Linked DNA regions of Macaca mulatta. The protein of the gene in region 1 interacts with the protein of each later gene in a biochemical or structural test. Links are inferred from orthologs where the notes say so. Each region holds a gene or a part of one and is shown on either strand. Other genes may lie near its edges.

Region 1 (15,517 bases):
CATTATTTGTAAGAGCATTTGCTCCCCCACTGCCGTGGGTGGTCTGTTCCTGATCTTTAACTGGTATTCCATCCTAAATAAAGACATGATGTGGCCACACATCTTCCCGGCAGTGGTCCTGTCTCCGGGTGACCTCCATCAGCAGGGGGAGGGGGAGGGAGTGTGCTGTGACCCCAAACCTTGGAGACCAGGGCCTCTTCCTGCCTGCTGGACTGTAATGACCCCACTGGGCAGAGAAACTCGGATATCCATGGAGACTCGTGCCCTTAATCTTTTAAGCAGCTTAACAAGAAGCCAGTTCAGCCTCTAGCGCCTGGAAGAACAGGCTGACCATAGGCCCGGGGCCCCTTTCTATCAAGGACACGCCCACTGTTACAGAATCGCCCAGAAGTGCAGCGTGACAGGCACTGCCCCCCGCTGAGGATGGGAGCCGGGGTCCTGCTGCTTCCCCGCTTGTGAGCTTCCCAATAAATCTTACACTTATGCCAAGTAGTACTATTGGGTGCCTGTCCATGCCCCCTCTGGGTGACAGTCATTTGTGTTTACCGCTGGCACTCTGGTCCAGTGGGTCAAGGACAGGACTGAGGAGTCTGCCTTTTAACTGTCCCCCTGAGCAGTTCTGGTGCAGGTGTCTGGAAGGCAGCAGGGAGCTGGGGTGGCTGGGGCAGCACTGGAGGAGAGAGGGTTGTCCCCATGGGGGGCCAAGGAGGTGCTGACCGTGATGGCCAGGACCTGGTGACCAACAGGACCCAAATAAGAGGACACTGAGGCCAGATGCGGTGGCTCACACATGTAATCCCAGCACTTGTGAAGGCTGAGGCAGGTGGATCACCTGAGGTCAGGAGTTCAAAACCAGCCTGGCCAACATGGCAAAACCCATCTCTACAAAAAAATACAATAATTAGCCGGGCATGGTGGTATGCATTCGTGGTCCCAGCTGCTTGCGGGGAAGAGGGCTGGGGTGGGAGGATTACTGGAGCCCGAGAGGCGGAGGCTGCAGTGAGCCAAGATGGCGTTACTACACCTCAGCCTGGGCGACAGAGCAAGACCCTGTCTCAAAAAAAGAGGAAACTGAGTTGTCACTTCAACCTAGGGCTGACAGGACAAAGCAGGAGGCCTTCCCCAGTCTAGACAGCATGGATGGGTGTGAAAGCACCGGAAGCATTTGCGTCACAGGTGGTTTGGGGAAGCAGAGTTTGAGGAACCTACCCCATGCCCCACAGAAGGGCCCCAGCCATGGCTTCCTGTGTCTTCCACAGTGGGATGGGCTGCTGAAGCCCCCACACTCTGACCCTCTTTGCTACTAGAGGAGTTGGCCAAGGGGGCCAGGCAGGAGTGGGCCAGGACTGCAACATGGGACTCTGCTGGGGCCCAGCTGCAGGCTCAGAGTTTAGCCTGGGCAAAGGCCTCTGCCACAGGCAGTGGGACTGTGGCACTTGGTGTGTGCCCCGTTCTTTCCTGCCTGGCTGACTTTCACGGGGTGTTGTTCCCATTCTCTGTCCACAACTCTCCCCACCCTTCAAAGCCCAGCTGGGAGGCCCTGCTCTGTCTCCTGAAGCTGCCACTTTCTACTTGGTCTAAGTGTCCACCTTCAGTCCCCCAACTAGGCTGAGAGCCCCCACCCCACCCCATGGGCCACCTAGGCAAGGGTGGTTGGCACTTGGGTGTCACTGAGGGGACTTTTTTTTTTTTGAGATGGAGCCTCACTTTGTCACCCACGCTGGCGTGCACTGGCACTGCTCACTGCAACCTCCGCCTCCCCGGTTCAAGCCATTCTCCTGCCTCAGCTTCCCAAGTAGCTGGGATTATAGGCATGTGCCGCCACGCCCAGCTAATTTTTATTTTTTATTTTATATTTTTTTGAGACGGAGTCTTGCTCTGCCACCCAGGCTGGAGTGCAGTGGCGCGATCTCGGCTCACTGCATCCTCCGCCTCCCGGGTTCATGCCATTCTTCTGCCTCAGCCTCCCAAGTAGCTAGGACTACAGGTGCCCGGCTAACTTTTGGTATTTTTAGTAGAGATGGGGTTTCACCGTGTTAGCCAGGATGGTCTCGATCTCCTGACCTCCTGATCCGCCCGCTTCAGCCTCTCAAAGTGCTGGGATTACAGGCATGAGCCCCCACGCCCAGCCTCACCCTGCTAATTTTTTAGTAGAGATGGGGTTTCACCATATTGGCCAGGCTGGTCTTGAACTCCTGACCTCGTGATCCACCCGCCTCGGCCTCCCAAAGCCAGGAACTTTTTATTTCTACCTGGCCTCTTTGAAATAAAATCATACTCTTCCCCTGGTTTTCCCGATCTCAGGAAACGGGCCCTCCATCCTTTCTCTTGCTTGGGGGGATCCCCTCTCTTCACACCCACATCTTGGCTGCCTCTCCTTGCTGATCCCAGCCCAGTCCCCTGCCGGGCTGAGCCCTGTGACTCCCTGAGCACCCATCTTAAGGAGCATGCCCAGCATGTCCATGCCTGACCCAGCTGCTGTGTTACATCTGAATGTGACACATGTCACATCTTTTTCTTTTTAGGGTCCATCTGTCTCCTTTACCAGAAGCAAACTTCCATGAGGGCAGGGATGTTTACTTGGCTCACTGCTGAAGCCAGCACCCAGTGTAGTGCAGAGCGGGCACCCACTCAGGACTAGTTGTATAAAAGAAGAAGGTCGTTCTCTGCTCTCCACAACCTACAGCCTTGTCCTAGACACAAAGCAGGAGAAAATGCTGAGAGTTGTCCGCTCTCGCCTGTGAGGTCCCTTCCTATCCCCCAGCCCCCAGCCCCTGGTCACTGGGTAAAGCCCAGCTCCACCTCTGACCTGGTCACCTAGGCTGGGCTGGCCAAGGCCTGGCAGGGGCCATAAGTTGCCACATGCAGGGTGGTGGCTGGACATCAGCCTCATCTCCGCCCCTTCCTCCCATACCCCTTATTGCGCTGGGCTCTCCGGAACAGACATCTGCCTAGCCAAATCCAGCTGGTTTGTCCAGGCCATTATCACTGCCTATACCAACTGCCCGTGGGCCAGTGTCCACCCCCAGGCCAGACTTCCCAAGGAGGTGCCTAAGTCTGGGTCTCAGCTGCATCAGTAAGAAGGGTGCAGTCATAAGACCCTCCTCACAGCCTCAGGAGGACTCTGAGCTCATCACTGGAAGGCGCCTAGAGCATCAGAGCTCTTTGAACGTTTTCGCCGCAGTCATTTTTGCTATTTCCCAGGCACTGCTCTAGTCCTGGAAGTACCGGAATGAATAAGATAGCAAAACACCTGCTGCCACAGAGTGACCTTATAGTTAGGGAATGGAGAACAGAAAGTGAATCTGTATACAGATAAACTCAATGGAGAAAAAAGTTACCAAAAAAACAGCAAGTGTGAGGCTCTGAGGCAGGACCAAGCTTGGCAGACAGATGGAGAAAGGCCAAGAGCACAGTGAGGGGAGGAGGTGAGGTCAAGGAGAAGGGCAAAGCCACTGTGACCTGAGCTGGTGCCTTCTGGGTGTGGGAGGCCTTAGCTGCAAGGGCCTGGAGAGGGCACAGCCCCAGCATCCTGGGTCCACACCACCAGCCTGCACTGCCCTTCTTGGTGCCTCAGTTTCTCATCTGCCAAATGAGGGCCGACCCCCACTGGCACTAGATGACTCTGATGCTGTTGGCCGCACCCTAACGCCTATTTAGTACCTGGATGTGGATGGAGGCCCATGGCCTTTGGAGAATTCTAGAATCTCAGCAGGAAAGACCTCGAAGAGCACCAGGTCCAAGACCCATGTGTGATGCCCACTTCCAGCGGTGCCTCGGGCAACTTCTCCACAAGCAGTTGCATACATTCCGTCAACAGTTGGCTCTCAGGTGACCGTCTATACTGGGCACCGGAAAGGTCATGACGGGCCATTTGTTTCCAGCTCAAGAGGCAAAATGAAGAGCCCAGACTGGAGCCCGAGTCCTGGCTTCAAATTCCAGCTCTACCTCTTTGCTCAAAATCCTCCTGGGTGAGCTGGGCGTGGTGGCTCACACCTGTAATCCCAGCACTTTAAGAGGCCGAGACGGGCGGATCACCTGAGGTCAGGAGTTCGAGACCAGCCTGGCCAACATGACAAACCCCATCCCCACTAAAAATACAAAAATTAGCTGGGCATGGTGGCAGTCGTCTGTAATGCCAGCTACTCGGGAGGCTGAGGCAGGAGAATCGCTTGAAACTGGGAGGCAGGGGTTGCAGTGAGCCAAGATTGCACCACTGCACTCCAGCCTGGGGAATAGGCTCAATCTCTAAAAAGAAAAAAAAAAAAAAAAAAAAAAAAAAGGCCAGGCGCGGTGGCTCATGCTTGTAATCCTAGCACTTTGGGGAGGCCAAGGTGGGTGGATCAGGAAGTCAGGAGTTCGAGACTAGCCTGGCCAACATGGTGAAACCCCGTCTCTACTAAAAATACAAAAATTAGCTGGGCATGGTGGCGAGCACCTGTAATCCCAGCTACTCGGGAGGCTGAGGCATGAGAATCGTTTGAATCCAGGAGGTGGAGGTTGTGGTGAGCCGAGATTGCACCATTGCATTCCAGCCTGGTCAACAGGGAGAGACCCTGTCTCAAAAAAAAAAAAAAAAAAAAAAAAAAAAAAAATCCTCCTGAGTGTGGCGTCTGCCTCCTGGGTGTGCTTCGGGGACGGGGTGAACACACGTACTGTGCTCAGTTACAGCAGTGCCTGGGCGCACTCACCCTCACTGTCCTCCCAGCCATTCCCCGGGCACACCCAGTCTACACCACCTTCCACAGAAGGAAAACTGTGATCCTGAAGGACACAAGAGGAAAGACAGACCTACCCAGGATACGCTGATCCTTGCATTCAAGCACTCATCCGCAACACAAAATCAAGCACTCATCCGCAACACAAAAGACATCGCCTGCCTGGAAAGGCGAGGTCTCCCCGCCAGCTTGCCAGGAAGAAGCTGCGGTGAGGAGGCGTGGTTTCTAGGCGCTGATCCATCCTAGCATGATGCCAGGCCTTCTATTTAGGTAGCAACAGGCACAACAGCCTTCACAGGAACTGTAGCCTTTGTGCCCAGCTCTAGCCAGAACCTGTGCAGGATGTCATCCTTCCACCCCATAAGGAGAAACGGAGGCCAACCCTCAGCTCCTGTCCTGCTTCAGCATCAATTCCGAAAAGGAGCCATTTCTTTCTTCAGGAACACGTTTCTACAGAACTCAGGGTAACAAGTGAAAACTAATCTTGTGTGCTTATCTCAAGGACTGTGCAAGCTTATCCAGGGTTTCAGGCGACAGCTGTTGGCATGAAGCCCTCTTGAATAAATAGGTAAGAGGCCCAGGCTGTCCCTCCCTCCCAACCTCTCAGAGAGCTCCAGCCTCCTCCCTACACAACCAGCGAACTCACCTCTGGGTAAAGGACCCAACTTGCTACAGTTGGCCAACTATCCGGCTGTATGGCCCCATGAGTCATCAGACATCGTGGCTTACACCTAGCAGGGCGAGCAGTTCCCACTCTGGGTACCCATCTTCAGTCCTGGACTGCCCTCCTCCCCAGATCTCACAAGGAATGTTATAACCAGTTTGGGATGCGTGGTTGGCGCCTCACTCGGCTAATTTGCCAGAAAAGGAATTCACACAAGTACTTTCCCTACAAAATAATTTATTCCAACACACAGCAACAGCAGAGACTCTATGTACAAGCACACTGACGCTCCTGACTACCCTCAACTAGGGGACCCTTTTCTTCCCCCTTGCCTTGCGGACCTCTTCTATCAAATCTTTCAGGTACTGGATCTCCTTGGCCAGGGAATCCGCCCTCTCTTTTAAAGCCTCATTCTTCTTTTCCAGCTCTTTGCACTCGCCAGTGAGGGCCTCCTGCTCCGCCCTCTTCTTCTGGCGGTACCTAGTGGCTGCTGTCTTGTTTTGCTCCATTTTTTTCAGCTTCTTATCCAGTTTCTCACCCTTTACTTTTGCTTCTACCATCTTCTCTCCAGGAGGGTCGTAAGGTTTGGGGCGGGCAGAGCCACAGAGAACACCTGGAGATGGGAGGCTCCTATTTGGAGAGCCCCTGGTAGACGGGCTATGCTGAGGAGAGCCCAGATAGGACTCCGGGCTCATACAGATGCCACTATCATTATCTGAGGGGGTGTCTTCCTCCTTTATGCACGGAGGGATCATGGCAACATAAGCAGTGGCATCTGGCTTCCTATCTCCTTCAGTGATATCCACTTCACTGCCCAGCTCTAAACTAAAGGAATGATCTGGAGTGGAGGACAGGACCCCTGGGGAAAGGGGAAGAGGTTGCAAGAAGGTGAAGGGGGCAACCTGGTCGGGTTTTGTTAAACTTTCTGGGAGATGGCCAATTGGGTTCACCGTCTGTGGGGGCTCCTTGTTAGTCTCCTGGACTAGGGGGGCAAAGAGATCACACGTGTCATCCAACGTGGTCAAAAGGTCATCTGGCATGGTTTCCAGGTCATCTATACCCAACAGGGCATCAAAGTCGAACTCCTTCAAATCCATTTTCTCCAACATCCAATCTGTCCCGGAGAAGGCATCCTCTGCAAAAGATTTGAATGACAGGGCCAAGTGAGTCAGATACAAAGATAACAGGCCCCTAACCCTAGATCCCACCCAGACGATGTGGTGGTGGCCCACTCACCCTTGCCGTTGTTGGAGGGACTGACCAACCCATCCACAGCCAGCCATTCGGAGGAGCCCGCCTTAGCCTTGTCGCTGGAGAACCCATGAGGTTTGAAGTGCTTGGCCACCTCCAGGTAGTCATCTAAGAGACCTAGGCTTTCTTCAGCCCCCAAACCCGACTGGTCGAAGGGGGACATCAAGTCCCCCACCAACACCTCGCTGCTCAGGAAGCTCATTTCGGTCATGTTGCGGTGCTTTGCTGGAATCGAGGAATGTGCTTAATTCGAAGATGTCTTTGTCGGTTACAGCAACGCTGCTGCTGAATGCCGTGAGAAGCCTGAATGGGAATCAGAAGCCAACTCCCATTAGAGGTTAGCTGGTCTGAGAATTTCATCTTTCCACTTACGAGGCGGGACTTCTCTAGTCCAGCCATCTATAGAGTCGGCAACGGGGCAGTTGCATCCGCCCCTCCCTGCTGCGGCTCAGGTTCCACAAAATGGACGCTCACGGAGACCAGGCGATTCTTCCACCGGCCACCAAGAGGAAGGCGCTCCGTCCCCGCGTCCAAATAAGGCCAGGGCGGCCGCGCCCCGCCCACCGCCCGCCCTTGACTCACGCCCGCGGCGCCGCCCTGCCGCCGCCATCTTGGTTCTTGCCACGTTTCGCGGGGGGGAAAGCCGAGACCCCTGGGACCCTTGGGGGACTCGGGGTCCGAGGGCGGCAGGGCCCCTGTGGAAGCAGTCCTGGCACCAGAATGCGCCTTCCCGATCCCGGGCACGCGAGCGTCTCGGGGACACCCAAGCAAAGACCACGCGTCCCGGGCGCTCGTAAAATCGCTTCCTCCTTGGCGGCACCGCCCCGGCCCCAGGCCGCACCCCACCAACCCAAATCCTGCGCCGGCCCAGGGAGCACAGCTGGACGACCCGCCCTGGTACTCACGCCATGGCTTAAGCCGCTGGGGGGGGTGCCGCTGCAGAGCCTGGTGCTGCTGCCGCCGCTGCAAAGGCCAATGCTGCCGCAGGCACTGCTGCCCCTAATACGCCATGGTGGCCGTGGACCCTGCGGGCGGGGAGGAGGGAAGGCGCACACGTGCAAACCAAACTACATTTGTGGGCGGACGAAGTAGAAATGGCCGCAGCAGCCGCCCGCCGGCCCTTTATAGACTTCGTCTCTAAGGGGACGCAGCACCGACGCATCCTTCCGCCACGGCCACGTGACCATCTCCTCCCGCCCGCTCGTTTCCCTCCCTTTGACGCCCCAACCGTTTATGCCCAGCGCGTAGCTGTGACGAGAAAAGGTGTTTGTTCTTATGACCTCACGAAACGAGAGAGGTGCACTACTTTACTAGACTTCTATGATCAGAGTCCGTTCTTTCCTTCGCCGCCGGAGCGCGGAGTGATCTCGCAGACACGCCTCGCTTCCGGTGTCGGCGCGGTGGGCGGGGAGAGGTCGTTTTCCGGCGGAGAGTTTTTATTGTGAAGGCCGAGGAAGCCAGGTTATCGCGCGAGGTGCTGGCGAAGAGCGCGCGTCAAGTTGATTGGCCCAGGCACGGTGAGTCATATATACCTCGAGCTCTTATTGGCTCAGGGCCCCAGGTGGGCGGCTGCTGGGAGAGGGATCACGGAGTCCGCGTGGTAAGGGTCGGGGTCTCGGGTCTCTGCCAGGCCTCAGGCCGGCCAGCCTGCTGGCCAGCTACAATCGCACTGGCTCCTGCCCCCAGGAGACCTTAGCCTAGCGCACCCCATAGTGGCCTCAGGGCCCAGCCCCTGCGGTCGGGTCCCGCCGCCCTCAGTGGAGGTCCGCCACTGGCGGCCCCGCCGCCACTCCCAGCCTGCGCGTCCTTCGGTTGCGGGGGCTGATTTCTGGCCTGCGGAAACCGGGGGGTTACCTGTTCCAAGCCTGAGTTTTCCAGAGACGCCATTCATAGCCGATACGGTGTTGCTGCCCCCGGGAGGTTGAAGGGGTCTCGAGAGGGCGCCTCGGGCCTGCCCACCTACACCCAAAGGCCAGCTGAGTCTGCATGGCTCCGTCTAAACTCTGGAAAGGAGCCGGGAAGACGCGCCGTCCTGTCTCCCAACCTGGGTTTTTACAATTCTCATCCGGCTCAAGTGCGAGGCTGCCACAGAATAGCATCATAGGGGAACTTCTGGTGTCCGAAGATTGCGTTCCCCTAAGAACAGAATTTTCTTCGCTGCCATCTACCTGGGGTAGTTTCGATTCACTCCGGGTTCTGAACTCCCCGGCCTAACCCGCTTTTCGGTGGTCATGCCCATGGCCCTGGGAGGAGAGGCGCTTGGGAACCCACGGCCACGTGCTCGGGGTTGTGCGTTGGGAAGGGGGGGTAGTCTGTTTTAATACAGGAAACCTCCGCATCGTCCTCAGCCCCCTCCAGTCAGGCCCTGTGAAGGTAGAAACTGAGTTTCCGCCTCCATTTCACCGGGCCACACAAGTATTTCTATGATCGCTGTGATACCAAACAACCAGGGAAGCACTGCTCTAAATAACCACAGGCCATCTGCTGCGCTCATTCAACCTCGCTCACAAGTCCTTTCCAATGGTAAACCGAGGCCCAATGGGATGAAGCTTCTTGCTCAAAGTCGCACAGCTCCCAGTGGAGGGAGTATAGGGTAGGAGTTAGAAGACAAATTTTGGGGAGCTCACCCAAAAGAATCCTGGCTGGGACATTTTGGCTAAGTGACTTATCCTCTTTGAGCCTCGGTTTCCTCATTTGTAAAATGAGACTACTGATGAGTATCCTTGCCCCATGAAGTGAAGTCATACATGTAAAGCACTTAGCATAGCGCCTGGTACATGTAAGCACCCAATAATAGTTGCTATTGCTGCTACCCTTCATAGAACTCAGGTCACCTGACCCTGACCTGTGCTACTCTCCACATCCTCCTGCTGCCTCAGAGGACTCTTAACTATTATTTAATGAGATGAAACCAACAACTTTAAAACTTGTATACAGGTATACACAAGGCATACCGGATGCTGGAATAAAAGTATGGTTTTTCTTTCTCTTTGGGGAATCATGAGAGTTGAGATATACAGAATTGGTGCCAGGAGCAGTGGCTCCAGCCTGTAGTCCCACCTACTCAGGCAGAGGTGGGAGGATTGCTTGAGCCCAGGAATTCCAAGCTGCAGTGAGCTGTAATCACAACACTGCAACTCAGCCTGGGCAACAGGGCAAGACCCTGTCTTAATAATAATAAATACAGGAGTTGTCTAGCCTTTCCATGCAGAGGCAGTAAGAATCCCTGAGCCATTAGCCATGTCTTCCAAAGGCCGAACTAGGGACCCACAGGACATGTTCTCCTTTTGCTATAGACAGTACCTCCTGACAGATGATGGTGCAAATGGTTGAGTATTAAAGTAACACTGCCCCAGTTTTGACACTGAAAAGGTCATGAAAGAATGACTCTCATGGCAGCCTGTCCCATCCATTCTTTTATAGAGACCTAGCTCAAACACTTCAAAGGTTACTCTAGCTGAAAATGGAGACCCAGTACCACTCCCACAGGAAGATGTTTCATGCAACACACACAAGTCAACACTGGTGGAAAGGAGACTTTTATTTGCTTCTTCCTATGCTATGGAAGGACATTGTGTTCCCCAGTTTTATTTCCTCCCGCAAGGAGAAAAAGGATAGCAGCTCTCTGGGTCTCAGGGCTAAGCTGCCTCTACTTATACAGACCTAACCAAGACAGTACAGAAAGAGTGGTGACTGATTCCAAATCTACCAGCTAACACACCCACCACCACTGATGGGCAGGCAAGTGACTAGAAGGCAAGCTGTGGACTTGGCCTCAGGGACCAATAATTAAAGACTACAAGGTGATCCAAATGTAAAGGTAAACACTTAGTGTGCAGCTGACCATGGAACCCACATCTCTGGTATTCTGGCCACTTATAGTAAGTGGCATCTACAAGGGCTGGAGCCTCCCAGCCTGGTGCAGGGGTCAGCTCTATGCTAAGTCTCCTTGGCCTTGAGCTTCAGACAAAAGGGCAGAGTTCTAACAAATCCTCTGACAGCACAAGTTGTCAGCCAAGTCAGAGTCCCAAGGAAGTACCATGGCACAGAGCTCTGCACACTCGCAGTAGTCTGTATTTACAGAATCCCCCCTCGGGGCCTCTCCTGGGTCCTTCCATCCTGAAGCTGATTCCCCTTGAAGACTATCTGCACTCTCACCTTGAGTGGAGTGCAGGGAGCACTGTCAGCGAATGTGGAATATGGACAGGTGCGCCTCCACCGGCCGGGACCCAGGAGACCGTGGGCCTCTGCAATGCTTTCTTTAAACTGGAGCTTCAACATATATTTAAATAAAACTTTAAAACTCACAACCAAGCATGTAAAGAAAAATACTGTCATCTTGAACTCATTTTTTAGGAAGGGCAACAGAAGAGAACCAAAATAAACTCTGGAATTTATTAGGTTTAAGATAATGAGTGCATTTTTTAAGTGTTAGGCGAAGTATAAGGTTTGCTAACCTTGATGGCACACACACAAAAATCTCTAGATGGAGAAGTAGAAGATGCTATTACTTCAGGCAAAAGTAAGAGTTACTGAACAGGAAGGCAGAGTAGCGGGGAAAATTACTCATCTTTTCTCAAAGATTTAAAAAAGGGGGCAGGTGCAGAATGTCTTCTTCTATCTAAAAATCTCAAAGCGAGTGCCTATGTTCCACATTTTATGAAGAGGAAGATGGCAGCAAAAAGAATGGCTTGCCCAGTCATGGTCAGCAAACCCACCAGGACCAAGGCTGAGAGTTCACACTGCTTCTAGTTCTGAGGACTTCTTAAGAGGTTCTTGCTTGTAAAATGACAAAGTTATGGTTTTGTCAAACAGTTAAAAGAGATGCTCTTTAAGAAGAATGATAAACTCATTTGCCTTTCTCAAGTGACAATTACACTAAAATAACTTGGAACTCTTAAAATCTTATCTTTTTTAAGCTCTCCTTCCAATTTTTATTTTTTAAAATTTTTTGAAACAGGGTCTCACTCTGTCACCCAGGCTGGAGTGCAGTGGTGTGATCTCAGCTCACTGCAACCTCCACTCTCCAGGTTTAAGTGATTCTCCTGCCTCAGCCTCCCGAGTACCTGGGATTACAGGCACCTGCTACCACGCCCAGCTTATTTTTATCTTTTTGGTAGAGATGGGGTTTCACCATGTCGGCCAGGCTGGTCTCAAACTCCTGACCTCAAGCGATCCACCCGCCTTAGCCTCCCAGTGCTGGGATTACAAGCGTGAGTCACTATGCCCAGCATCCTTCCAATGGTTTATGTGAAATTTGGTCAGAGATGCGAGGTTGGGAAAACTTAGAATTTTTTAATACTCATGGCAGGGAAACCAAATCCTTTATCTCAATGAAGAATAATCTACACTTTTGCAACACTCTATCAATCCTCTCCTCTCCCTTCCCTGTAATGGAAACCCAATGGGTACACTGGAACCCTCACTGTTAGGCTCTACCCCATACCTTCTAGATTCATCCAGGATGGTACTCAGGCGTACAGATTTTTTTTTTTTTTTAAACTCTCATTTGAGTCTTACCAACAGACAGATAAGCTCTCTCACGATTCTCAGCTTTATCGTTTTTTGTTCCCTCTTAATACTTTTATGCAAATGAAATTGAAACCACCATAAGAAATCCTTGTTAAGGGGAAAAGAGCCAAAAAGACCTCTAAATATAGTCAAGGTTAAGCCTAGTTGTCAACTTCCTAATCTGTGACAAAACAGGGGCAGGAATCTCTACCCTAAATTGCTGCTGAGGTATCAATGCTAAAGAGTTATTTCCTGTTACTATCATTGGAAAGGAATGAGACAGCTGCAGAGAGCTTCACCAGAACCTCACTGATGGAGAGGTAGTCATCGAAAAAATAAGACAACTTGACGGGAGGAAAACAAAATACTGAATAGGCAGATGAGAAACAGAATTATCATCAGAGTCTTGCCACAAACAGGGAAAAACACAAACCAAGACGACACATGGACATGGTGGATTAAACATTCCTCCCCACCTTCAGGATACATTTACATTGCAATAAATACTGCAATCTCAGCAGCAGGAAACAATGAGGAACGTAAGAAATGCCCATCTCCTCCCCTCTGCCTTATCTGTGTGCGCTCTTCCTTGGTAGCACCAATCTCCCCAGGTGCTGGGTGAGAAACAGGACAGGGGAAAGAGGTCTGTGCATGCTCACTTGCCCTCTGGCCGTACCCCGAGCGCTCAGCAAACAGCCCTCTCACGTTCCTATGGCAGACACTGGAGGATGAAGGGCTGGCTGTTGGGTCTGTTCTTGCCTAAGGCCACATCCTAGAAAAGCAGGGCCTGCCTGGGGAGAAAACATGGCCACCAAACCCCAACTAGTGACCAGATTTTCCAACTGACATTCAGTCGCCTGTCTACCTCCCTCACCCTCAACTGATGGCTAAGGCTGCATTCCTTCAAGGCCTTGTCCTGATTGGCAATAAAATAAGGAAAAGGGGTAAAAACCAGCATTCATGAGGAGGTGGTGTCCTGGCAGCCCCCATCCTTGTCTGTCTGACCCCTGCAGCCACAGATGAGGAACAGACACTGGGCACACAAACCCTCCACTAGGCCCTTAACCAGCTCTGGTTCCCTACTCTGCACTTCTGCTGATAGCCACCCAGAAATTCAATCTGCAAATAACTTAGAATCCAGCTTGTCCTGTGGGGATCACTAACAGTGTTTCCGTGAGAGACGTTCTCAGCATTTAGGAATGGGTCAGGAGATGGCGGGGAGGGCAGACTCTACTCCAGGAACCGGGGTCAAGGCCAGCTCTTCTACCAGCCTCACTCCCAGAAACCCTAAATACTGTCCCAGCACTCACTCTGTAGAGTTCAGCTTTGAAACATGCTATCACAGCTCTTCAGTGGCATTCAACTAAAAGGCAACATCTTAATTAGGCAGATATGCTCCAGGGACAAGAGCAAAACAGAAGGCATGAACAAGAGGGGAAAAAATAGAAAAGACACTGAATAGGAACAGGCAAACAGGCAAGGCAGACCAGACAGAGGCAGCAAACATGGGCTGAAATGCAAAACAAGTGGTCCATCAGCTCAGGCCAGCACACCACCTTCTCAATTCATTCCAGAAAAATTAGCCTGGAGCCAGGGGGAGCAGGGAGCACAGTGATTGGTAACAAAAATAGGAAGAGTTGGGTAGGAAAATAGGAGACGGAAGAGATGTCATTCTAATCAGCATGAAGTGACCAGGTTGATGATCAGCAAGACAGCAGGCACCAGGAACCCTGTGAGGCACCAACTACGTAGCCAAGTGTATCTAACGGAGAATCCAGGGCCTGACCACCAACACCCGCTTTGGCCTTCACCTGCCCTACGTCTGCAGCAGCACCTCTGGCTCGGACAATGAGCAATACAGAGTGTATCCTAATTCGTCTATTTCTTCAGGGGTGAGCTCTGCAAATAAGTTCACCTTGGGGTTTAGAGCACTGGGCAGGATTCCAGCCTCTAAGTAGCTGATAAGTCCCCTCAGGGCCTGCAGGAAACGGTCGGCCAGCATATCTGGAGACCAGTCAGCCTCCTCCTGGGCCAAGAGGAGGATGACATTGGTTAGCTGGCTGGCAGTGAGGTGGCCCAGAGACGGGGTGGACTTGCATATGGCCTTGAGGATCTTGAGGCACAGAGATCGGCAGCCCGAGTCAGCCTGGTCCAGAGCCCGCAGGCGTGCCGTCTCTGCGGGACGCAGGCTCAGCCGCCACAGGTTGTCATACTGGGCTAGCCGGTGTGGTTTGGCCACCAAGACTGTGTCACCGAGGGTCACTGATGGCAGGAAGTCAATGAAGAGATGTTTGTCACGCTCGTACTGTACCTCCAGTGTGAGGGCCTCCGGGGGTGGCGCCGGGCGGATCACATAGTCCAAGAGGGACCCTATGGCTGGCCAATTGATGGAGCCAGCCACCACCTTCTCAAATGTATCTGCGACTGTCTTTGGGGAGAGGTAGCCCCCTACTACACAGCGGTCCCAGTAACTGCTCCCACGAGGAAAGTACTCTGGATTCTCACGACGAACCAGGAAGAAGCCAGGAACATTCATGATGGTGTCTTCACCAGGAATACACGACCACAGGTTCTGCTCCAGCACAAGGGGCACAATCAGCTGGATGTGGTCAGCTGCCACCACCTGTCAGAGCAGAATTTAAAACGTTTGGAGGGTTTACTCTGTTCAAAAGACACGCTTCCTCCAACACAGTTCCCACCATCTTACATTCCCCCAGCAAGAATGGGAACTCTAGGCCAGACGCGGTGGCTCACGCCTGTAATCCCGGCACTGTGGGAGGCCGAGGCGGCCAGCTCACTTGAGGTCAGGAGTTTAAGACCAGCCTAGCCAACATGGTGAAACCCCGTTTCTACTAAAAATACAAAAAAATTAGCCAGGCATGGTGGCGGGTGCCTGTCGTCCCAGCTACTCGGGAGGCTGAGGCAGGAGAATTGCTTGAACGCAGGAGGCAGAGGTTGCAGTGAGCCAAGATTGTGCCACTATACTCCAGCCTGGGCAACAGAACAAGACTCCATCTCAAAAAAAAAAAAAAAAAAAAAAAGAATTCTTTCATGTCACCATATCAATCTACACAGACTGAGAAAACTAGAAAGGAGAGATGGATACAAGAACATAGGAAGGAGGAAGCCTCTTATAGCTTCTTAAAAGTTGTAAGTAGGACTAAAACATGAGAAAGGATTAAAGACACAAGAATTTCGAAAGAATAACATGCCAGGCGTGGTGGCTCACACCTGTAATCCCAGTAATTTGGGAAACCAAAGTGGGTGGATCACCTGAGGTCAGGAGTTCGAGACCAGCCTGGCCAACATGGCAAAACCCTGTCTCTACTAAAAATACAAAAAAAATTAGCCGGGAGTGATGGCACACACCTGT
Region 2 (15,884 bases), on another chromosome or scaffold:
CAAAGCCACAGGGATGAAGCTGCTCAAGGCCATGGTAACACACCTCTTCCATCAGTGTGACCTGGGTGTGAGACATGGAGTCAAAGGAGATCATTATGGAGATTTAAGATTTGACTGCCCTGCTGGATTATGGACTTGCATGGGGCCTGTAGCCCCTTTGTTTTGGCCAAGTTCTGTCATTTGGAATGGGTGTATTTACCCAATGCCTGTACCTGCATTGTATCTAGGAAGTAACTAACTTGCTTTTGATTTTTCAGGCTTGTAGGCAGAAAGGACTTGCCTTGCCTCGCCTCCGATGAGACTTTGGATTGTGGACTTTTGAGTTAATGCTGAATGGGGGATTGTTGGGATGGCATGATTGGTTTTGAAATGTGAGGACATGAGATTTGGGAGGGGCCAGGAGCAGAATTATGTTGTTTGGCTGAGTTCCCACCCAAATGTCATCTTGAAATGTAGCTCCCATAACCCCCACATGTTGTGGAAGGGACCCAGTGGGAAGTAATTGAATCATGGGGGCAGGTTTTTTCTATGCTGTTCTCACTGTAGTGAATAAGTCTCACAAGATCTGATGGTTTTGTAAAGGGCAGTTCCCCTACATATGCTCTCTTGCCTACCACCATGTAACACATGTCTTTACTTCTCCTTTGCCTTCCACCGTGATTGTGAGGCCTCCTTAGCCATGTGGAACTGTGAGTCCATTAAACCTCTTTTTCTTTATAAATTACCCAGTTTTGGGCAGTTCTTTGCAGCAGTGTGAGAATGGATTAATACACATGCTTATCCTCTACCTATGTGTCTTTCCATTGTCTTCCCTTTGTGTTTGTCTCTATGTACAAATGTTTTCTTTTTATAAGGGCAAAAATCATGCTGAATTAGAACCCACCCTAATAAGCTAATTTTAGCTTTATTATCTCTGTAAAAATCCTATTGCCAAATAAGGTCACGTTCTAAGGTACTAGGGATTAGGACTTCGACATGTCATTTTTGAGGGACACAATCTAATCTATATCAACTCCTATCCTCCTCTTCACTCTTAGCTGACAACCTCTTCTTCTAATCTATCTAGATATTGATGCTACATTGTATTCTGGTGCTCCAGCTGAAAAATTTATGTATGCATGTCTCAGGGGATGAGTTGACATTCTTTTCCTATGTTTGGAAAATCTATGGTTAAAGAACTTGAGAGGCCTGGTGCAGTGGCTCACGCCTGTAATCCAGCACTTTGGGAGGCTGAGGCAGGTGGATCACGAGGTCAGGAGGTCAAGACCATCCTGGCTAACACAGGGAAACCCCGTCTCTACTAAATATACAAAAAATTAGCTGGGTGTGGTGGCGGGTACCTGTAGTCCCAGCCACTCAGTAGGCAGAGGCAGGAGAATGGCGTGAACCCGGGAGGCAGAGTTTGCAGTTAGCAGAGATCGCGCCACTGTACTCTAGCCTGGGTGATAGAGCGAGACTCCGTCTCAAAAAACAAACAAACAAACAAACAAAAAACCTTGGGATCTTATTGCGGGGGGATTAAAATGTTAAGAGGAAATAAAGAATGTGAAACAAAGTATCAGTGGCCCTACATGTCTTAAATTAATTTTCATTTTGTATTACATGCTTGCTAGAAACTTTCAGGATTTTTCTTCTTTCAAATTCCAATGAAATGCTTGTGTATTTACAAACATGTAATTAGGCCGGGCATGGTGGCTCACACCTGTAATCCCAGCACTTTGGGAGGCTGAGATGGGCAGATCATGAGGTCAGGAGTTCAAGACCAGCCTGGCCAACATGGTGAAACCTTGTCTCTACTAAAAAATACAAAAATTAGCCAGGCATGGTGGCAAGCACCTGTAATCCCAGCCACTTGGAAGGCTGAGGCAGGAGAATCGCTTGAACCCAGGAGGCAGAGGTTGCAGTGAGCTGAGATCATGCCACTGTACTCTAGCCTGGGCAACAGAGTGAGACTCTGTCTCAAAACAAACAAACAAAAAACGTTTAATTAATTCAGTTGTAAATAGTGTGTATACAAACACATGTCCTATGATGTCTCTTCTTACCCACTCTGCTCCAACCTTTTTGTCTTTATTTCTTAACACACTACTGAGGTTTCAGCTGAAATTTTATTTCCTCAGAGAATTGTCCATTGGCTATCCAATCTAAAATAATTATAGATTTATTTTCAATTGGGTGACCCTTTAAAAAAATCTCTGTATAGCATTTTTATAAAACTTTCCTATTTATTTTCTGTCTTCTCTCATTACAAAGTCGGCTCCATGAGAACTTTATCGACCTTGCCCATCATTATACCCACAATGCTTATAACAGGATCTAGCTCAAAGTAGACCGTGTGTGTGTGTGTGTGTGTGTAGAATGACTGAATAAATTATTTTCTTGCTTTGATCTTGCAATTCTAGACAGATGCAGAATAATGTAGGTACGTGAGATGGGTCAAGTTTTGCAAAACCTTTATTTAGCTACGAGAAGCTGAACAGATGTTTTTCAAACTGCCTCCCCAATATACAAAACCCAATACACAGAGTTATAAAGTTTAGGCTTCTCTCACAATTATCTTAAGCTAGTGAACCTTACACAGTTTTTACATGGCTTTATACCTCCTTCCCTCCAAAGATTTGGAGTATAGTTGAATCCTGACACATGCTGCAAGTCATTTAATAAAACAGCCATTCATGTTGTTAAAATTTCCATGTAAAATACAAATAGGAGCATGTTTCTTAATCTAATAAAAATACTAATCTCAAGTCAATAGCTAGATAGTAAAGGCATTTCTGTTAAAGTCAGGAATAAGACAAGGAAGTTTGCTATAAACACTATTATTAGACATGAATCTGAAAGTGCTATTATATTATCAGTCAAGATAATAATAAATATTGCAAGGAAGAAAGCAAAATAGTTATATATAAGGTTATGTAATTATTAAAAATTGATAAGCTGAAAATTAAAACAAGAAAGTTTGGTGCACTAGTGAGTTAAAAATTTAACAAAAAAGATAAATAGCTCTCCTACATAGTAACAATAACCATTTAGAAATAGAACGGAAGAAATAATCTATTTTATGCAAAGTTTGCATAAAAACTAGGTAAAGTTTGCATAAAAACTAGATAAAAGAAATGAATACATTTAATGCAATTTCCATAAAAATTCTAGCTTTTTTGAACTTGGAAAGTCTTCTAAAGTTATGTGGAGAAATAAATACTTAAGTATAGCTAGAAAATTCTGAGAAAATAAAAGTGACAAAGAGGGACTTGCCATATGAGATATGAAAATGTAATATAAACTCCAATAAAAAGTGGAGTGATTTTGCTTCTGGAATTGCAGAACTGATCAATAAAATAGATAAAGACCAGAAATAGATCCAAGTGTATGTAAGAATTTAATATATGGCACACATGTTGGGAAGTCAGTGGGACAAGTATGGATTATTCAATGAATTGATAAGTGGATTTTTTTTTTTTCTTCTAAGACATAGTCTTACTCTGTCGCCCAGGCTGGATGGAGTGCAGTGGCACAATCTTGGCTTACTGCAACCTCCGCCTCCAAGGTTCAAGTGATTCTTGGGCCTCAGCCTCCCAAGTAGCTGGGATTACATGCATGTGCCACCACACCTGGCTAAATTTTTTTCTAATTTTTTGTATTTTTAATAGAGATGAGGTTTCACCATGTTGGCCAGGCTGGTCTCGAACTCCTGGCCTTAAGTGTTCTGCCTGCCTCGGCCTCCCAAAGTGCTGGGATTACAGGTGTGAGCCGCTGAGCCTGGTCTTTGATAAATTGACTATTTAAAAATTACAGCCTAAGAAAGAACTTTACAACTCCACCCCTAGTAAATCGTAAAATTATTTTTTTAAAAAGTTGGAAAATATAAGAGGCAAAGGGATGTTTTCCTTATAATGTAAAGAGTTCACATAAATCAAGAAGAAAAAAGACAAACATCTTCCCTGAAGAACGTTTTCCCCTACTTCAAAGATAAATAAATGGGTTAGGGAAGTGAAAATCCTATTCACGTTAGAAGTCAGTTGGTCATGTGACAAACATTCAACCTTCCAATAATCAAGGAAAAGCAAATTTGGGAGGTTGCGGTGGCTCACGCCCACAATCCCAGCACTTTGGGAGGCGGAGGCAGGTGGATCACCTGAGACGGGCAGATCACCTGAGGCCAGGAGTTCAAGACCAGCCTTGCCAACATGGTGAAACCCCATCTCTACTAAAAGTACAAAAAATTAGCCAGGCAAGGTGGTGGGTGGGGGTTGGTGGTGGGGGGGTTGGTGTCTCTCTATGTTGCCGAGGCTGATCTCAAACTCCTGGGCTCAGGCAATCCTCCTGCCTCGGCCTCCCAAAGTGCTGGGATTACAGGCGTGAGCCACCACACCTGGCCAAATCATGTGTATTTAAAACAGAATTTTGTAGTTTAAAAAATATAATAAATCAATCAATAATATTGAATTTTGCCTAAGGGGAAAATGCAGTTGAATGGGATTACCAGCCATACAAAACACCTGTACTCAAGGGAGGCCAGAGTATACATATATCACCTTGAACTGTGTGCTGTTGTTCTTTAGCAAAATCTTTCCTAATGGAATGTTAAGCAAGACAAGGAGTCCTTTTATTTATTCTTCTAGATACCACAGGTCATACTTTTTTCACACCTTGAAATAATTGTTTTCATTCAGTTGAGCTTTAGTGTTATGCCTTCAGTCAAAACTGTAGACTTTGTTCACTCACTCAATAAATATTTGTTGAAGCCTGTGCAGTGTACCAAGCACGTTTCTCAATATTTAGGACCTGTCAGTGTTCAACTTTCCTGGAACTTGCTTTCTGTCTCTCTTAAGAAATACTGTATAGAAGCAGCTATCCTAGAGGATATCTGCTACATTATTCAGTATCCTATAGAGAAGTTTCTTTAAGATTTAAGAACTAGAAAAGTGGTTAAAGAATTCATATATACTTTACTTATGAACAAAGGAAAATTCATTTCTCTTTTTTTGTTTGGGCTGTCAGGAAACAATTTTAGCCCAACTCAAACAACTGAGTAAGATATTGCATCCATCCAATTCCAATATTAACCGTTTCCCCTTTCAGAACTCCTTCTCTTCCTAGTTCATCTTTTTTTTTGGCCTTGCTTTTTAAAAATTCAAAATGTTTTGTTTTACTATATTCTAATGTACTTGTAAACTGCTTCAAATCTCAGATCTCTTGTGGGATATGAACCTAAATATCTGTATTTGTAAACTGCTTCAAATCTCAAATCCCTTGTGGGATGTGAACCTAAATAACAAACAGAAAAGGTCTCTAAAATAAAAGATGTGCATTGAAAATAGAGCATTTCAATGGGAAAACGCATGCCATAGTAAACTATGTGTGCATGCAGGAAGACGAAGGAAGACAAAGGGTTTTAAAGGAAAAAAAATGAGGATGGTTACACATTGTTTTGAAATAATTATCTTGACTACAAAGGTCAATAACAAGGGTGACGTCAGTTCAAGGTTGGACAGGCAGCTTCTGGGCAGACATCCTTGCAGAGGTTTTGTATAAGGTCATGATGGTTTTTGTGCAACGTTGTGGTTTTGCAGTCTTTGTTTTCAGGCGTACAAGTATGAGTACCCTCTCTTCATAGCCTTTTCTGGCTCTATTTGTCAGAGTTTTTGTTCGTTACCCAAATGCAGTAAGTCAGTACTGACTGGATTTTGGCTCAAGTGAAAATACCTACTTGTAAAAAATGGCATGAACAACCGAAGACAATTTTTGTAAGGAACGTTGTATTCTACATTCCTTTTTTTTTTTTTTTTAATTGACAAATAATAACTGTCACATTCATGGGGTACATAGTGATGTTTCCATACATATGGAATGTAGTGATCAGGTTAGGGTAATTAGCATATCCATTATCCAGCTGAGGACATCTAGTATGGCCCAGGTATTAAATAGTATTAGTAAACGATTGTTAATTTTCTGAAGACTTGGTAATAGTATTATGATTATGAAAAAAAGTCCTTAGTTTTAGAGATGCACACTGAAGTACGCAGGGGTGTGGTGTCTTACCTGCAACTTTAGGATGATTCAGCAAAAAAAATTTACAAGCATTTATGTAAAGATAAAGCAAATATGGCAAAACAGTGTGTTGAACTGTTGAGTCTGGGTATTGGGCGGTATTATTGAATTAGGGTGGATAAATCTAGAGTCTGTTGTTATTTTTGCTGCAGTTATTATGACGTCACTAGAAAGCTGGAATTATTCCCACTCCAAAGCACCCTAAAACCTCGCGATATTACGGCCTGGTGGCGCGCGAAACGCGGTGGGCGGGGCTGGGGCGAAAACCACTGACTTCCGGCCAGGCCGTTGTCTGGGTGGTGCGGTCGAGTCATCAGTGGGCCTCACCGCTTCTTTCTCCCGACCCTCCCTGCGCCCTGGCGCGGGGGGTCGACTAGCCAACTGAGGCGGGAGGCTACTCGGACCTTTCCCTGCATTTCGTTTCGGCCAGTGCCGGGGGCTACCCACCCTGGGGCGCGGGATCCTTGGGGCCCGTGAGGCCCACTCTTAGCGGCCAGGGCCTACCGCGGCCCGCCGCCGGCCCTCATGAGGCATAGCCTGACCAAGCTGCTGGCAGCCTCGGGCAGCAACTCCCCAACCCGCAGTGAGAGCCCAGCCCCGGCTGCAACCTGCTCGCTGCCCTCGGACCTCACCCGGGCGGCAGCGGGGGAGGAGACAGCAGCGGCCGGATCTCCCGGCCGCAAGCAGCAGCTTGGCGACGAAGGGGAGTTGGAAGCCGGGAGGGGGAGCCGCGGCAGGGTGGCCGTGCGCGCGCCCTCGCCCGAGGAGATGGAGGAGGAAGCGATCGCCAGCCTCCCCGGAGAAGAAACGGAGGATATGGACTTTCTGTCTGGGCTGGAACTGGCGGATCTCCTGGACCCCCGGCAACCGGACTGGCACCTGGACCCCGGGCTTAGCTCGCCGGGGCCTCTCTCCTCGTCTGGCGGAGGCTCGGATAGCGGCGGCCTGTGGAGAGGGGAGGATGACGATGAGGCCGCGGCTGCTGAAATGCAGCGCTTCTCTGACCTGCTGCAGAGGCTGTTAAACGGTATCGGAGGCTGCAGCAGCAGCAGTGACAGTGGCAGCGCCGAAAAGAGGCGGAAAAAGTCTCCAGGAGGCGGCGGTGGCGGCAGCGGTAACGACAACAACCAGGCGGCGACAAAGAGTCCCCGGAAGGCGGCGGCGGCCGCTGCCCGCCTTAATCGGCTGAAGAAGAAGGAGTACGTGATGGGGCTGGAGAGTCGAGTACGGGGTCTGGCAGCCGAGAACCAGGAACTGCGGGCCGAGAATCGGGAGCTGGGCAAACGCGTACAGGCACTGCAGGAGGAGAGTCGCTACCTACGGGCAGTCTTAGCCAACGAGACTGGACTGGCTCGCTTGCTGAGCCGGCTGAGCGGCGTGGGACTGCGGCTGACCACCTCGCTCTTCAGAGACTCGCCCGCCGGTGACCACGACTACGCTCTGCCGGTGGGAAAGCAGAAGCAGGACCTGCTGGAAGAGGACGACTCGGCGGGAGGAGTCTGTCTCCATGTGGACAAGGATAAGGTGTCGGTGGAGTTCTGCTCGGCGTGCGCCCGGAAGGCGTCGTCTTCTCTTAAAATGTAGGGTCAAGTAATCTGCTCTTTATCCGCGTTTACCCCTTTCAACTCCCTTACACCATGTCAAACTTACCTTAGTGGGACATCTTCACCGGACACATTTCAGAGGAGAGAAAAAAAGTAATATTGAATCTTAAAGTGTTTAGCTAAAAGCATGAATGTGACACAGTAACCAACTCCTAATGATAACATGTGACTATTAAATCTCTCTGACAGTTTCTTTTTTAGGTGATTTCCTTCCTGCCAGGCTCCGTTGTAGGGGTTACAGAACAGTCGTTCCCGCCTCACAACCTGGTAAGGATCCATCTCTTCCCGTAACGCTCATGCTCTGCTGCTTAGTCTACTTTAATGGGCAACATCTCAGTCTGTGTGTGTGTGGTTTTTTTTTTTTCCTGTTTTGGAAGGTGGGAGGGAAATCTAATTTGGGCCCTGTCCACCCTGGAAACAGACTTGTGCTGGTCAAGAATGTATTTAAGATGCCTCTTCTGGTTGAAATAGCTATTAATGTGTCCCCTTATTCAGACTTGCGTGTACCTAGCTCTTCTGTCCCCAGTGTGGACATGGCCTTGGATGACATCGGTTCCAACTGTACACTGAAACCTGCTTATAGAGATACAGTTTGGAGACAGTGAAACAGGTGAAGTTGAATGGAAGTTCCGAGTTGTACAAGGTGCAAATTGGAATTCCGATTTTAGGGCAACTTTTCAGAGGTTGACAATAAGTATTTGGGGCATGCACAAATGTGATAGTTATTTTGCTGGAGGTGACAGGTACCTCTGAAATATCAATGCCTTTTAGTTTTCAGTAGGAGATATAGAAACAGTCTATACGGAGTAACAGATTTTAGTATCTCACCATTAGAGAAGTTGGAAATTAACATGCATATCAGACTTCTGTGTTTTAGTTACTTCGAGAATAAGAATGGTTAATATTTCTTTGAGGACCAGCAGTGATTACCCTATCACTGAGTATGAATAAATTGTTGAACATCGTTATTTTTGTTGTATTAAAATTTTAGGTTAAATTTATATATGTATGATTAGATATTGAAGGTTGTGAAATGTGAATGAAAACGTGTAAAGTGAGGCTTCACAAAGAATCTTATTCTCTGTATTTCAAAAGTATTTGTCTTATTTTAGAATAATTTTTTAAATTGAGTGCTTCTGGCCACTTAAATAACACGATTGGCACTATTTTCCCAAAGGTGGGATTTATTCTTCCCTTGAATCTATTAACCATTTGTATAAATTGAGTTATGGTGTCCTTCAGTGTAAGAGGCATTAAGAAATTCTTTGTGAAACATCACTGCTTGATAAAGTATATACGTATTTAGCATCCTTGTTTTTCTTTGTGCTAAAGTGGATACAGCTGTTGGGGCAGAAGAGACGGGACCAGCTGCTGGCCACATTTCCTGCTTTATTTTAAAAGGTAGTATAAGAAATGAGGAAAAAGAGGTAATATCAGGGCTTCTGCTGTTTTTTATTTTTAAAATGTTCATAATTAAAAAGTATTTTCCAGCAGTCCAAAGATGTAAGTTATCTTACACATGTTTTATTTTGTTGTTATTTGGTTATGAAAATGGAATCCTTGTTCTTGCACAACTGTAAATGTTTTGTTGCTAGATAATACGATTTGAGACCTGAATTGGTCTTTGGTTTCCAGTGCATCACAGCATATTTTGTAAAATCATCTACTACTGCACTTGAGCATGATGGGTAGTAGCCAAACTCACAACTTGGAGTGATGAACCTGCTTATACCTAAGGGCAGGAGCAAGCCCCTCACAATGCAGCTGCATGGGTTTTTAGTGCCTACTGAATTTTATATATATATATATACATATATATAAACCAAAAGTAGTTGGAAAGATTATTTGAAATGACTAATTTGTGCTATCTTTATGAAATATGTTAAATGTAGCTTTTTTGAAACAGAAGCCTTGAATTGAAATTTAACTAATACTTGAACATTTTTGTATATATTTCTTTGTATATAATTTTGTGCAGTACCAATGACAAAAATATGGTGTCATAATAAAACCAGGTTTGTTGATCTTTTAGTTATGGGCTCAAAGAATTTATTCATCTCTAACATGACATTGGAAAATAATGGATGAAAATAGGAAAAATGATTGTTGTTAATGCTGACTGTGGGTCTTAAAAGGTTCTGGAAAGCAGTAAGTTCATTTTTCTAAAAACTATAACATTCTCTTGGAATATTTTCTTCCTTACGTCAATACTTTTCCTGCATTATTTGAAGTTGTGGGCTGGGGAGAAAACAGCAGTCAAAGCTTTCTGAATTGAGATGCTTTGAAATTCCAAGTGTAGATTTTTAGAATGTCATTTTATAAATGGCAGTTTTTGGAATTACTTGATAAAGAACTTTTGAAAATGGAAAGATTAGTATGGCCTATTTTTAAAGCTGCTTTGTTAGGTTCCTTATGTTTTATTAACTGTCTTTCCTCAGTTTCCATTTCATTTTTTTTTCTAGTTTTGGTGACTTAGTGATTTTGTCATTTTTTACATCAACTTCATGGTCTGGTTTTTACATGGTAATTGCATGTATTTAGGATCTATCTAATAGGGGCTTTAAATAAATTTGGTCATATTTATGTGTAAGCACATTTTACTGTAAATGTTTGGGTTTCTGAATTTAAACAGATCTGTTTATTTCAGTATGTAGTAAACAATATCTTAAAGTGTCCGACTCACTACTTGTTAATTAAAAAAGTTATGATTAATGTGAAACTGTTGTCTTACTATTTTTAGAAAATTGTGTTCTGGATGATTAGCACATGGATAAAGGAGATTTATGGCATATAAAATGGATTGTTTTTGAAATTTCTAGGTTTGGCTCTATTTACTATAATGGTTGAAAACAATTTAGTATTTGGGTGACCCTTTTGTTTTTCTTCTAAATGTGCCTCTATGGTAAAATACAGAACTAGACTAAAGACGTAGCTTTTTAATATTTGTCTTCGATGGTGGCAGGAGTTCATACATTAATTGAACTAACACATCATATTTTGACCTATTTCTATCATATTGACTTACTGTTTCTGCACTTCCTTGACCAGACTTATCTTAAAAAGTCCACTTTCGTTAAAATGTAGTCACACCTGATATAATCCAACAAAAAGTGTTCAAAATATTTTAAATATTTGTGCATTTTATAATCACTAAATTAATCTCTTTCTCTTCTCTTTAAACAGCTTAGCAGTGTCTGCAAAAAGGAATCTTTTCCTACAACCTGTTAACTGACTGGACTGATGGTAACAAAGTAATTGTGAGAGCCATGTCGGTCAAAAATTTGGCATCTGCTGAAAAAAATGAATGCCATTTTCAAGTTCCCAAATTACTTCTATACTGATTTCACTTTCCAGAAATGGAGATATGAAAAGATTCTCTGGAATCCTTGAAAGACTTAATAGAGATACATGAGACTAAGTTAATCTTGGAACAAAATTACACTTTTTTTGTCTTTCATGGGAGTGATACTCAGTTATTGCATATCTTTACAAAATTGTAACCGTTGGAGAATTACAGTATTTCATCAAGAAATTAATTAGAGTTTTTAAATAATCAAGAGCATATTCTATGGAATTAACATTTAGTGGACTAGAATTACATAAGCAGGCCATCAGTGATCACAAGGCATATGAGTTTGTATTTATTTCCTGGAACATGAGAGGTAATTTGGAGTACAGACAGACACCCTGCTGAGTAGAATATAAAAGTTAATGTAAAGTTCTTAACGATAAAGAGTAGTCCTTTTAAATAGATGCATTGATTTGTATATCTCTGAAAAAGTTGATTATGATTAAATGTGTGGGTAGTTAATTAAAATTTAGGGTAACAACCAGGATGTATGGATTCTGAGGTTTTGGCTTCTTGAGCTTTCTCTTGAGTACTTGATACTGTCTTTTGAATATTTTGAGGTTTCTAATTAATGGTATGCTAGTTTCTACTGTTTTATATAAAAATTTATCTAGTGTTGTATAAGGGCTTTAGTATTCTGGATGATGGGAGTGGCTTTTTGTGGCATATCGTTGTTTTACTTAATTGAAATATTTTTTCAGTTTATTACAAGTGTGAAAAAAACACTCAAAACTCTGGATTGTTTTATTTCATTTTTGTTGGATTATGTTAATACATTCCTTCACCTGGTTTAGATTGAGTCATTTTATCTTACTCATTTGGGAAATGTGCAGCTGATAGAAGAGGGTTTGGGTAGGAGATTGGCTCTTAACTTCATAATAAATATACAGTTGGTTATTGTATTATTCAGAACTTACTAAATCCAGTCAGTTTCTTATAATTTTAAGTGTATTCAGTGCCTGTGAAGCCAGGCAGCCAAGAGTATTCCCACTGGCATAAAACTTAAGTGCTGATGCTCCTACAGTACAGCTAGTTATAATTCCAGAACCAAAGGCACCAACATGATTTGGTGACCTTAACTACTACTTTGATAGAACAGACTGGGTAATTTACTAATAATGAGTCATTATCTTTTTAATATGTGATTACCTAGTTCAGCATTCTGAATGTGTAGTTTAAGGTCTCTCTGATTTAGTAAAATTTTAAAGCTAAATACTCTGATGACTCTTGAAAGTTTAATTGGTAGTATGACATTTATAAGTGTTTTTTCCCCCAGACTCACAGCCAATACAAAGTTTTGAGACTCTAGTAAATGTTAATATTTTTGCTGCTTTTCTGAGCTGTTTTTTTAATTTACTTACCATCTAATCTAGGGACCAAAACGGGAATTCTTCCCTTAGAAATTTGTAGTGTTATGTTTGGCCAGCACAGTATTTTTCAGATTTGAATTTCAGTACCTTTATGTGTAGCCTCAGTACTCTCAACACCAGTCACTCTTTATTGTCTTAAAATACTCCATACTTTTTGTTGACCCAAAATTGTTGAATATTTTGCTCAGTTTTCACAATGAACTAATTGAAAAGTGTAGTTACTGTGTTGTAAACATTTGTGTAGTTCTGTTAATATACTGATTTGAATTTTATTTATCTCAACTTCCTTTAGCGTCTGCCTCCAGATTTTGTCTTTGCTGTATACCCACTGAGATCAATTTCCTAGACCCCTCTGGCTCTTAGTGTACTATGGTTTGGGCTTTATAAAATATATTAATGTCTTAATTTAAATAGAATGTGAGCCCTCTTTTTTTTCTTTGAAGCCAAATAACTACACACAGTAAATTATAAAATATTTAAATAGTTTGTCTACTGTGTCTAGACTGAAATATTAAAAATTGACTTAGGGTAGTTTACTTCAGGTGTTAGCTACAAATGACTAAATGTCCTTAAATAATAGCTACAAATGACTAAATGTCCTTAAATAATGCAGATATCTGCTCTCTGAACAAAAATTTTCGCAAGGTAAATTTGTAGCAACAGACTTAACATGCTTTATTGTTTATGTTGCCCATTTCTGCTAATGGAAAAGATAATTTAAAAATATGTGGCAGAGGACAGAATAGAAATACTTTTTGGTTACAGAAACCATTGTAAACTCATCCCCATTTATACATGGTATTATGCTAGGGAGTAATTGGACTAGGAATGTTTAAAGATAAGTAAGGAAACAACGTGTGCTCAGTTGTCAAAGAACTTAGTTATATCACTGGACTTTGAACTATCTAAGTTGATTACACAATTCTATATTCTTAAGGAGTCTAACTGGGTACTTGGGTTAACATCAGAAATTACTTTTAATTCATTGTTTTTTCACTGTGATGAGTAGAACTCTGCTTTTAGTAAAAGTGACAGAATGTAGGTAAAATGGATGATTTGGGGTCAGAGCTTTTCATCTTAAAATAAACAGCTGTATTGTTTTGCCCTTTAAACATTATATATTTCTTTTTTTCCCTAGTTGTAAAAGTAAAACATACTATTTATAGAAAACTTGGAATATCCTGAAAGGAATCAAGAAGAAAAGAAAAATCACCCTTATAACTATAAGCCGTAGAATATCCACAGTAAACATTTTGGCATGCTTCCTTCCTTTCAGTCTCTTGTGCATACAGATTCTTTTGCCTCATAACTGGGATCATTTTCTATATAAGTTTGGTAGATAATACATTTTATGTGCCTGATGAAAGAACAAATCATCTTTGGTTTCTGAAAAATTGAGATTGTATTTTGTTAATTTCACATAAGCTTTTCATCTTTGGCAGCACTGCTTATATTTTTCTTTAAACAGACGTTAAAGGCCAGTTTCACTCACAAAGATGCCTTTTCTAAATTATTATATATAATTTTAAGCAGCATAAGATTACTTAACACATATGTCACTATTTGGAAGTAATAGTTAAGAGATTCATGAATAATCTTGGATGCCACTTAAAATTTTGTTTGGTACTTTTCTGTGATGATTGGCTTGCTTCATAAGAAAGTGTTGGTTTAGATCTACGCTGTCCAATACTGTAACCATTAGTCACATGGCTAAACATTTTAAATGCATTAAAATTAAAAATTCAGTTACTCAGTTGCACTAGCCACATTTCAGGTGCCCAGCAGCTACATAGGCTAATGGTTAACATATTGACAGTGCAGATATAAAATATTTCCATCATCACAGAAAGCTCTGTTGGACAATGCTGATTCAGTTGCTGTCACAAAAGAAAATGGTTTAGAGAACTAGGATGAGAAATGTTAGGACAACAGAAGAAAGCACATCAAAAATTTAAATGATCTTAGGAAATCAATCAACTAGGATATTTCACTGAGGGTCAGAGAGATTAGTTGATTTTGTGATTCTAAATATCCTACAATAAATGGAAGCGTGAAAGACTACCTAAACTAAAAATACAGCTTTCCAAATAAGGTGACTCGAAGTAGGTAGATCTATATCATAATAGCTGAAGCTGAGCCTGAATGACTCAAGAAGATGGCTGATTTAAGGAAGGTTGTTAAATCAGTTCTAAGAATCTATGGATTAATAATTTGAATTGAGAAAGTGAATTATAAGTAACATTTGGTATAGTGTATGGATATATATTTTTTCATTTTTTATTCCCGTTTGGCATTATGAAGTCTTCAGTGTAAAATACTATATAGTAACTTTTTCCTCTTGTGTACTACAGACCAAACTCGATACCTAAGGTAAAAGAGTAGAGCAAGCAAGGTAGAAGAGACAATACTGGGCAAACTAGTGAAGTTAAACTTGTTTAACTGGGTAGCTTTTACTTAGATTCAGCCTTTTGTTGTAGGTCCCAGAATTATCCTCATGTGATAAATTACAAGTCTATGTTTATGTATAACATTAGACATAAACTGTTTTTACCATTTTATTTTTGTTTACATATTTGTTTAAAATCAGTGAATTTCTTGGCCAGGTTCAGATAACTGAAGGGCCTTTATAAGTAGTTTATATTGTTTAGACCCAAGGTATGCTGAAAACATTGTCTGGAGCATAATAGGAAATAACATCATTCTAAAGACAGGCTTAGAAGTTCTAATCCAGTAATTTAAGATGTTCCCTTTGTGTGGTAACAGAGCTGATTGATACCTGTAAGAAAACATTGAGATAGTTCAATAGAAAAGATTGTTGTATCAAGTGGCAAACCTATCTATGATATATATTAGTCCTAGAAGTCTTAAGATGAAACTAAAGATTAAGGTAAAGGTCTTCAGTGTCTGTTAATCCTAAAAACTGTTTTATTTTGTTTCTTTATCCAGTTTGCTTCAAGGCTATAGCATAGATTGCTGATCCAAGAGTTCAACAGAGAATAGCCAGAATTATTTTAGAATAGAAGGCTAATACAATAGCTACACATTTTCTGATGGAATTTTCCTTTAGTGCAAGTGTTCAAACTCATCCAAGATAATTATTTATATGACAGAAGTTTCATGCATAATACTCTTTGCAGCTTTGTAGTTAGTTTAGTATTCAGTACACAAATTAACGTTAATAGCCTGAACTATATACCAAGTAGAACTGTTTGAAATTCTTGATAAGTAGCATTTGATTGTAAGAAGAAACAGGTCTTGCTAACTTCTAAACAAGAGGGTAACATTGCCTTTGGTCTAAATGACTTAAAAACAAAATATATTTGCTGCTTTAAGTTGTGAGTTTTATAGGTAATCATATATTATAAAAAGTTTTTCATTTCCTACCTGGCTGCTAGGCTACCATTTACAGGTATAGCCAAGAAAACAGGGTACAGACCACCAACAACAAGACCTATCAGTCCACTCCGTGTTACGGTACAGGTTTCACAAGCCAAATCACCTAGGAAATAA

What was found.
Region 2: the proteins of ATF4 (region 1) and CREBZF form a complex in vitro, tested with the Homo sapiens proteins (2 studies listed by IntAct, with this or other methods). The link is inferred for Macaca mulatta from reciprocal best matches to the Homo sapiens genes ATF4 and CREBZF.

The regions. Positions count from the first base shown.
Region 1 is NC_133415.1:12,016,253-12,031,769, forward strand, and holds ATF4 (cyclic AMP-dependent transcription factor ATF-4), read right to left. Parts: upstream 7,519-15,517; 5' UTR 6,845-7,518; coding exon 6,619-6,844; intron 6,518-6,618; coding exon 5,688-6,517; 3' UTR 5,605-5,687; downstream 1-5,604. Other genes in the region: mitochondrial dynamics protein MIEF1, read right to left, coding at 13,961-14,767. UniProt on the Homo sapiens protein: Transcription factor that binds the cAMP response element (CRE) (consensus: 5'-GTGACGT[AC][AG]-3') and displays two biological functions, as regulator of metabolic and redox processes under normal cellular conditions, and as master transcription factor during integrated stress response (ISR).
Region 2 is NC_133419.1:86,249,381-86,265,264, reverse strand, and holds CREBZF (CREB/ATF bZIP transcription factor), read left to right. Parts: upstream 1-6,350; 5' UTR 6,351-6,576; coding exon 6,577-7,635; 3' UTR 7,636-9,439; downstream 9,440-15,884. Other genes in the region: TMEM126A (transmembrane protein 126A), read right to left, coding at 14,958-15,150, 15,759-15,873.